2 linked regions of the Macaca fascicularis genome follow. The protein of the gene in region 1 interacts with the protein of each later gene in a biochemical or structural test. Links are inferred from orthologs where the notes say so. Each region holds a gene or a part of one and is shown on either strand. Other genes may lie near its edges. The genes, in order: UBE2B and UBR1.

Region 1 (3,919 bases):
AAATATTCAAGGTCTGTGGGAGGTCAACACCTCTGAACCCCCTGGTGGTGGGGGGGCACTTCTCGCCCATTTGCACCTTTCTTGCTAGTGTAAAAAACCTGAAGTTGTCTCAGGCTGGATAGATAACCCTCACTCAGGTCTGCTGGAGCTCTCCCCCACATATGAATCATATTTGTAGGTTTCTTTGACAACCAACCACTCATTGATATGCTTGGAAGACTGCACCCCCACATTCTTAAAAATACAATGGTACTCCCCCCCATAGGCAAGTCCCCGGACTCTGACACATATCTTCAATTGAAAGCAGACCCAGAAAGGAAAAACTGCATAATACACCATCCTTTAATGTTTGCCCAGAATTTCCAATACTAGAAACCCCACTGCAAAGCAGAAAGACTATTTGGTAGCTTCAAGGAACCATTTCAGGAGATTGTTGTGTGGCCCTCAGTATTCAATGCTGCCTTAGAAGATCTTGCGATCCTCTCTCTTCTTGCCCCAAGTACCAGAGTTCATAAGCCACTGAACCAACCAGAGGGGAGTTATTTTTGGTCCCGGTTTAAAGAAAACAAAACAAGCTGTTGATCCTCCCACGACCTCTTGGGTAATGTCTCTATACCTGTGATAAACCGAAAACAACTAATAAAGGTGTATCCAGCCCTCACCCTCTTAGACCCGCTTCACAGACCTGGCCGAAACTCACATCCAGGCGAGGCTCTCACGTGACCCGTTCTAAACGCGTCACAGGGACACGTGGTTCTAGATACTTCTCCCCCTCCCCCTCAGGGGTGGATTGTTGACAAGGCCGCGGGCAGTCACGTGATCTTACATCATCCCACCTCCTTTCCCTGAAATCCCTGGCCCGGATACGTCCTTCTTTCTCCACCCCGCCGAGCCTAAACTAGAGACGGGGAGGCAGACAGGATAGTGTGTCGGTTTCGTGGTCTCTGAATCCACAACCTCTAGTCTGAACACAGAGAACACAAATTTGTCGATCACTTCAGGAAGCCCAGGAAGAACCACGCCCCGCTGAAGGGCTCAGGGAACGCGCGCTCCCCCGTCCCGCCCCCTCCTCCCCCAGCACTCACTCTGTGGTAGCGGCGGAGGGCGGAGGGATCCGGAGGCGGCGGAGGGAGACGTCATTGCAGGGTTGTTTGTCAGTCTTGGCGGCGGCGGCGGCGGCGGCGGCGGCAGCGGCGATCCACAGTGATTCGGCCGCCGCGCCGGGGGGTGGGGGGGCTGCGCGGGACTCTTTTCTTTCAGACTGACCGCGGGGCAGCTGCGGAGCATGTCGACCCCGGCCCGAAGGAGGCTTATGCGGGATTTCAAGCGGTAAGGGCCTTCAGCTTCGCATAGATGACGGCCTCTCAAAGCTGCGGGGCTGCAGGGCGTGGATCCCGGACACCTTCCCCTTGTGACCCTCAGAGGGCCGGCTGTGGGCCCAGGGGGACTGGCGGAAGCCGGGTCCTACCTCGGCCCCTACTCTCCTTATCCTTGCCGCTCGCTCTGGCGCCCGAAGAAATTTCGATACTGCTTCCCCTCCCCCCAAAAAGTAAAACGATGTCGATCGACTGGTCTAGGGTTCCCCGCTGCCCATTTCGGCCAGCTGCCCGGGGTCTCGTCCAGGGGATCAGACGGGGATCAGACATCATCCTCCCGCCCCTGCACCCTGCGGAGACCCTTTCTTGTCCCCTCAAAGTGAGCTCCCGCGGGAGCTTGTTCTTCTCCGGCAGCACCAGTCAGCTTTGTTTCACGGCCCCTCAGTCTTCTCCGAGGAGCCGGGTTGGGGTGAACCTCCCCAGCCCCCCACCCTCGCCAGTCCTTTCCATTTCTGCCGTGAGGGTGGGGTCCAGTGCGTGAGGCTCGGAGGTTAACCCATCCCCCGAAACCCGACTCTGTCCCCGCCCGCCTGAAAAGACCTTGGGAACTGACTTAGAGATCTGGGACCTTAGAGCTGGCCACCCCGGCTGCCAGTGCCTTCTGGAACTCAGATCTGGCTGGTGAAGAAAGCCCTATCTATAGCCTCCCGAGTCTGGAAAAATGCCTTCCCTTAGACTGGCGCTAATTTGATACTCCCTGGGCCTTCTTTGGTAAATAAAATAGGGTTTTGTTAGGAGGTATTGGGGTTGTGAGGAAGAAAATGATTATTCCGTTAGTTTACCTTTTATTGGATACTTAGAGACGTAGAAAAAACAAAATAACGTAGAAAAAACAAAATAAGTGAGAAAACATTTTGATATTCTGCACATTTTTCTTAAAATTTTTTCTGGGGACACCTACCCTAATTGAACAAAATAGCATAAAAACATAGATTTGTCGCTCAGGAAGTCACCTCTCAGCTATTATAAAGCCTATGTGAGGCATTTGGATTTGGCCAACTTATTTAATTCATTCGTAGCTTCTCTTAGCCATTTAAAGGTAGGCGTCAAGCAGTGCAGTTCCTCTAAGGCTTCTGTTTGTGGTGGCCTAATTTGCTTGAGATTGACTAAAAACCTTTTTTTTTATGTGGACTAGTTGCAAATTATGATGCCCCATGAAAACAACTCCATATGTATTTGTGAGTGTGTATAATGTAGCATTTTTAATTGAGGTTACAGTCTCTGAAAGGAGATGCCCTTTTTGGTGCAAAAGTCATTTTTCTAAAGCTTGAAATCAGTGTATCTGATTAGCACTCATGACTAAAATTCAGATAGTAAACTAGTTCATGTCATTGTCGCCCTGGCTCCTTACTGTAATGCTCTGCTTAATTCTGAGTTGAATACATGGCACCTTTTGTAGTTTTCCAGAGATCTATAGGTTACAAGAATTTGACTATGACGAATGTGGGAAAGCCTTGTATTGAGTCTCCTGATTTGAGAGGTAGATTTGATGTTAGTGCAGAGCCTTTAAAATAGGGACTGGCGGAAAACCTACTGATTACTTTTTAAAGCCATTGCTGTTTGAAGCAAAAGGGATAGAGTAAATCTGCTGCCTAATACTAGTTTCCTAGTTAAATTTAATGTGTTTTCAGTCATTTCGTGTTTACACTGAGGTTTGCTTTTTTTTTTTTTCTTGTAGCCATTTTGCAGAAGTAGCCGTGGTTAGGATACACAGTCTTTGCATGTTTAGAGCAGCAAAATCAATGGTTCTGTAAAAATATTACTTGCTTTTGAGGTTTTAAACTTTTTTTGGTATAAGAGGACAGTCTATATACATCAATTCTTGAAGAGATACTCTTGATAATATTGAAAGAGGGATGATTCTCAAGCCCTTCGGATTTTTAGGTAATTTGGAGAGGTATTTAATAAGTATATATACCTGGTTAATATATCTAAGTCATATGGTTCATTTTAGTTCACAATAACAAGGAAATGGAGTTAGTCTGTGTCTCAAAATAGATGGTGTAGTGTCTGTAGGTGTTTATGTGGCCTCCTTAGTGGCCTTAATGTTCAACTTTTTAAATTACAACGCTGGATTTCTAGGTTACAAGAGGACCCACCTGTGGGTGTCAGTGGTGCACCATCTGAAAACAACATCATGCAGTGGAATGCAGTTATATTTGGGTGAGTTGAAAGGTTTAACAAATAATAGGTGTGTGCTGAATCTTTAAGAAAAGTGAACATATAACAACTGTCTAGGAAAAGAAACTGAGGTAGAATGAGAGATCTTAAGGACTAAAACTGCAAGATAAATTAGAAAAAAATTTTTTTCAATTAGAGTTTTGGCCCAGCACAGTAGCTCAACGCCTGGGAGGATCGCTGGAGCCCAGGAGTTCATCACCAGCCTGGGCGATATAGTGAGACAGTGAGACTCTGTCCCCTCTCCACCAAAAAAAGAGTTTTGGCCCAGTCTGGGCAACATAGTGAGAGACCTTGTCTCTACAAAAAGTATAAAACTAACTGGGCATGGTGGTGCCCAGCTACTTGGAAGGCCGAGGCAGGAG
Region 2 (3,819 bases), on another chromosome or scaffold:
AAGACAGTTTGTGATTAGACTTTAGACCTGATAACCTGTCTTTCTTTTTCCCTCCTTTTTATGCCTTGTACCAGAAACCCTAGACCCACTTTTCATGGATCCAGACTTGGCATATGGAACTTACACAGGAAGCTGTGGTCATGTAATGCATGCAGTGTGCTGGCAGAAGTAAGTTGTCCTTCTGACATGTTCTTGAAAGAGACTAGGAACATTGAAGTTCACTCAAGGCCACAAAAAGGCATGTTTTCTCATGTCTTCTTTCCTTTCTTCTTCTTTGAATGACTGAAACAGTTTTAATTACTAATTCTGTTTGCATGAATTATTATTATCAAAGTTGGAAAGTGGTGTGTAAAGTTACCAACTTTAGATTTTCACTGTTCCTTTGTGCTTGCTCTCCATAAACTAATCAGTTGCTCTTCATCAGTATTCATGTAAAAAAAGTAATGATTGGCTGGGCGTGGTGGCTCACACCTGTAATCTTAGCACTTTGGGAGGCCGAGGTGGGAGGATAACCTGAGGTCAGGAGTTTGAGACCAGCCTGGCCAACATGGTAAAACCCTGTCTCTACTAAAAATACAAAAATTAGCTGAGTGTGGTGGCACATGTCTGTAATCCCAGCTAGTCAAGAGGCTGAGGCAGGAGAGAATCGCTTGAACCCGGGAGGTGGAGGTTCCAGTGAGCCGAGATTGCGCCATTGCACTCCAGCCTGGGAGACAAGAGCGAAACGTAGTCTCAAAAAAATTAATAAGTACAACAAATAAATAATAAGTAAGTAATCTTTATAAAAATCTAATTTCCCTCAAAACATACTGCTGTGAAAAGTACCTTTGAAATAGAATAGGATGAATAGGACAAGAAGTTCTCATTCTATCTCTGGAAACTACAAAAATTCAAAAATGTAATTCCTGAGAAATCTTTTGTGTAGAGTTTACCCATTTGGCATTAGATTACAATATATAATTTTTCCAAGATAGCCCTCACTACTTCAGTTCATCATTAGAAACTGAGGAAAGTAGTGTCCATGCTGTATCACCATGCTTTTGAGGCAAGAGATGAGTTATGATTCAATAAACTTATTTAAAATTTATATCTGCTCTGATATATTTTCCAATTTATTCCCAAAATAATAGGCAACCTCTTTCTTCTATGATTACAACTTGTGTGTTTTTGCATGTATGTTCTAAAGATGTTTATTGAGGCAAAAATTCTAGATTTTTAAAACTTGGATTAGAGCAAGTAGAGATACACATATAGAGATGCATGTGTAGTTCTAAATGGGCCTGTATCTTTGTAATTTTGCAGATATTTTGAAGCTGTACAGCTGAGCTCTCAGCAGCGCATTCATGTTGACCTTTTTGACTTGGAAAGTGGAGAATATCTTTGCCCTCTTTGCAAATCTCTGTGCAATACTGTGATCCCCATTATTCCTTTGCAACCTCAAAAGATAAACAGGTATATTTTATGTTTTGGTTAATTTTTAAAAAGTTGGCCAGGTGCAGTGGCCTGTGATCCTTGCACTTTGGGAGACCGAGGTGGGTGGATTGCCAGAGCTCAGGGGTTCGAGACCAGCCTGGGTAACACGGTAAAACCCCATCTCTACAAAAAATAATAATAATAATAAGTTAGCCAGGCGTGGTGGCACATGCCTGTAGACCCAGTTACTTGAGCGGGCTGAGGTGGCAGAATCACTAGAGCCCAGGAGATTGAAGCTCCAGTGAGCCGAGATTGCGCCACTGCACTCCAGCCTGAGTGACAGAGTGAGACCCTGTCTCAAAAACAAATAGAAAGTTGTCTTTAGTTCTTTAATTTGTGCCTGTTTTTGTTAGATAACTTTTTTATTCTTCAAAGGAATTAATACTTTTTCATTTTATATCTTGTGTTATACTTTTAAAATGTGATCAAAAGCCTAATTTTTTTGGACTCTCAGAGAACTATAATGTTTATTTACTTGAATCTATATATTGTGGTTATATTTTCCAGCAGCCATTAAAGCAATAGAACTCTGAACTCTGCCTTAGCACTCACAAAAGGAGAAAAGATGCAAAAAAAATTCATTCCTTTCATATGGCCCTTTGCCATCATTAGATTTGCCAGTTGGAGTCTGATAGCTCGAATGATCCTTGTATTATTTTTAATTTCATTTTTCTGAAGATCCAAATGCTATAGCTCTAGAGATGTGGACAAATGTTAACTAAAAAAATTAAACAAAAACACTAGATTCATTTTATATATATAATATATATATATCATTTTATAGATATCTCTTTTAAATTTGTATATTCTGATATATTTTATATATTTTATATTCTGAGTTTTTAAATTTTTATATTCTGATCTGTAAATGGAATTTAACAGCAAATTATTAGTTTTTGTATGACAACTTGGAAATTTAATTATATATTTCTATATTCTCACTGTTCTACATGAGGATGACAGTACTATAATATTTATATTATTTCAGTTGCTTTAAAATGCAATGAATTTATAATGAGAAACCTGAATTCTGCTACAGAAAATTGTTTTGTTGATAAAAATACCTTTATGTCCCCATAAAAGTTCAAAGGTGATAGGTTTGGCGAGAAGGGTCAATATAAAGAGTTGTTCCGGCGGGACGTGGTGGCTTACATCTGTAATCCCAGCACTTTGGGAGGCTGAGGTGGGCGAATCACGAGGTCAGGAGTTTGAGCCCAGCCTGGCCAACATAGTAAAACCCGTCTCTACTAAAATACAAAAAAAGTAGTTGGGTGTGGTAGTGGGTGCCTATAATCCCAGCTACTTGGGAGGCTGAGCCAAGGAGAATCGCTTGAACCTGGGAGGCTGCGGTTATAGTGAGCCGAGATCTAGCCATTGCATTACAGCCTGGCTCTGTCTCAAAAAAAAAAAGAATTGCTCTAACCTTGGCTGGGCACAGTGCCTCACACCTGTAATCCCAGCACTTTGAGAGGCTGAGGCAGGCAGATCACCTGAGATCAGGAGTTTGAGACAAGCCTGGCCAATATGGCAAAACTCCGTCTCTACTAAAAATACAAAAATTAACCTGGCGTGGTGGCACATGCGTGTAATCCCAGCTACTCGGGAGGCTGAGACATGAGAATTGCTTGAACCCGGGAGGCGGAGGTTGCAGTGAGCCGATACCATGCCTTTGCACTCCAGCCTGGGCAACAGAGCGACACTCTCGTCAAAAATAAATAAATAAATAAATAAATAAATAAATAAAGAGTTGTTCTGATCTCTACTATTCCATGTCATTGATACACCTAAATTCAAATTGTCTTCTTCAACATATTTGGTAACATGAGAAAGAATTATCCTTGATTTGAGTAATTAATATATTTTAGGCATTCTGCAAAGCAAATGCTGCATTATCTTATTATCTTATTTAATTCTCACAGTAGTCTAGTGAAGTAGGTACTATTATTTCCATTTAAAGGAATTGGAGACTATGGATAGTTTTTATTTGTCCTAAGACAGATCTAAGATTCAAACCCAGACCTGACTCCTGACTCCAAAGCCTTACCTAACTGTACAGCAGAAGACAAAGATAAAGGAAATCGTAATAAAGTGACTTTCCAACTTCTTGTACAAGCCTTTTTTGCACAGTGGCTCCCCCAAATAGGATTATTAAACTATGTAAATTGTTCTCTAACAGAGTATTTAGCTACTTCTTTCTTTGATGTCTTTAAGGATCAGATGCTTCAGAGCAGTTCTTTCTAAATTCAGAAAACTGATCCTTACAACCAGTTCTCTTAGAACTCTGGCACACTTTTAATTTATAGTAACAATTTTGTTACTCAGGATCTGAAATACATGATTATACAT

Evidence for each region.
Region 2: the proteins of UBE2B (region 1) and UBR1 form a complex in vitro, tested with the Homo sapiens proteins (2 studies listed by BioGRID and IntAct, with this or other methods). The link is inferred for Macaca fascicularis from reciprocal best matches to the Homo sapiens genes UBE2B and UBR1.

Annotation. Positions count from the first base shown.
Region 1 is NC_088380.1:140,910,841-140,914,759, forward strand, and holds the start of UBE2B (ubiquitin-conjugating enzyme E2 B), read left to right. Parts: upstream 1-1,156; 5' UTR 1,157-1,285; coding exon 1,286-1,329; intron 1,330-3,458; coding exon 3,459-3,539; intron 3,540-3,919. UniProt on the Homo sapiens protein: E2 ubiquitin-conjugating enzyme that accepts ubiquitin from the ubiquitin-activating enzyme E1 and transfers it to a E3 ubiquitin-protein ligase. In vitro catalyzes 'Lys-11'-, as well as 'Lys-48'- and 'Lys-63'-linked polyubiquitination.
Region 2 is NC_088381.1:19,608,627-19,612,445, reverse strand, and holds part of UBR1 (E3 ubiquitin-protein ligase UBR1), read left to right. Parts: intron 1-74; coding exon 75-168; exon of another isoform or gene 169-238; intron 239-1,302; coding exon 1,303-1,452; intron 1,453-3,819. UniProt on the Homo sapiens protein: E3 ubiquitin-protein ligase which is a component of the N-end rule pathway. Recognizes and binds proteins bearing specific N-terminal residues that are destabilizing according to the N-end rule, leading to their ubiquitination and subsequent degradation.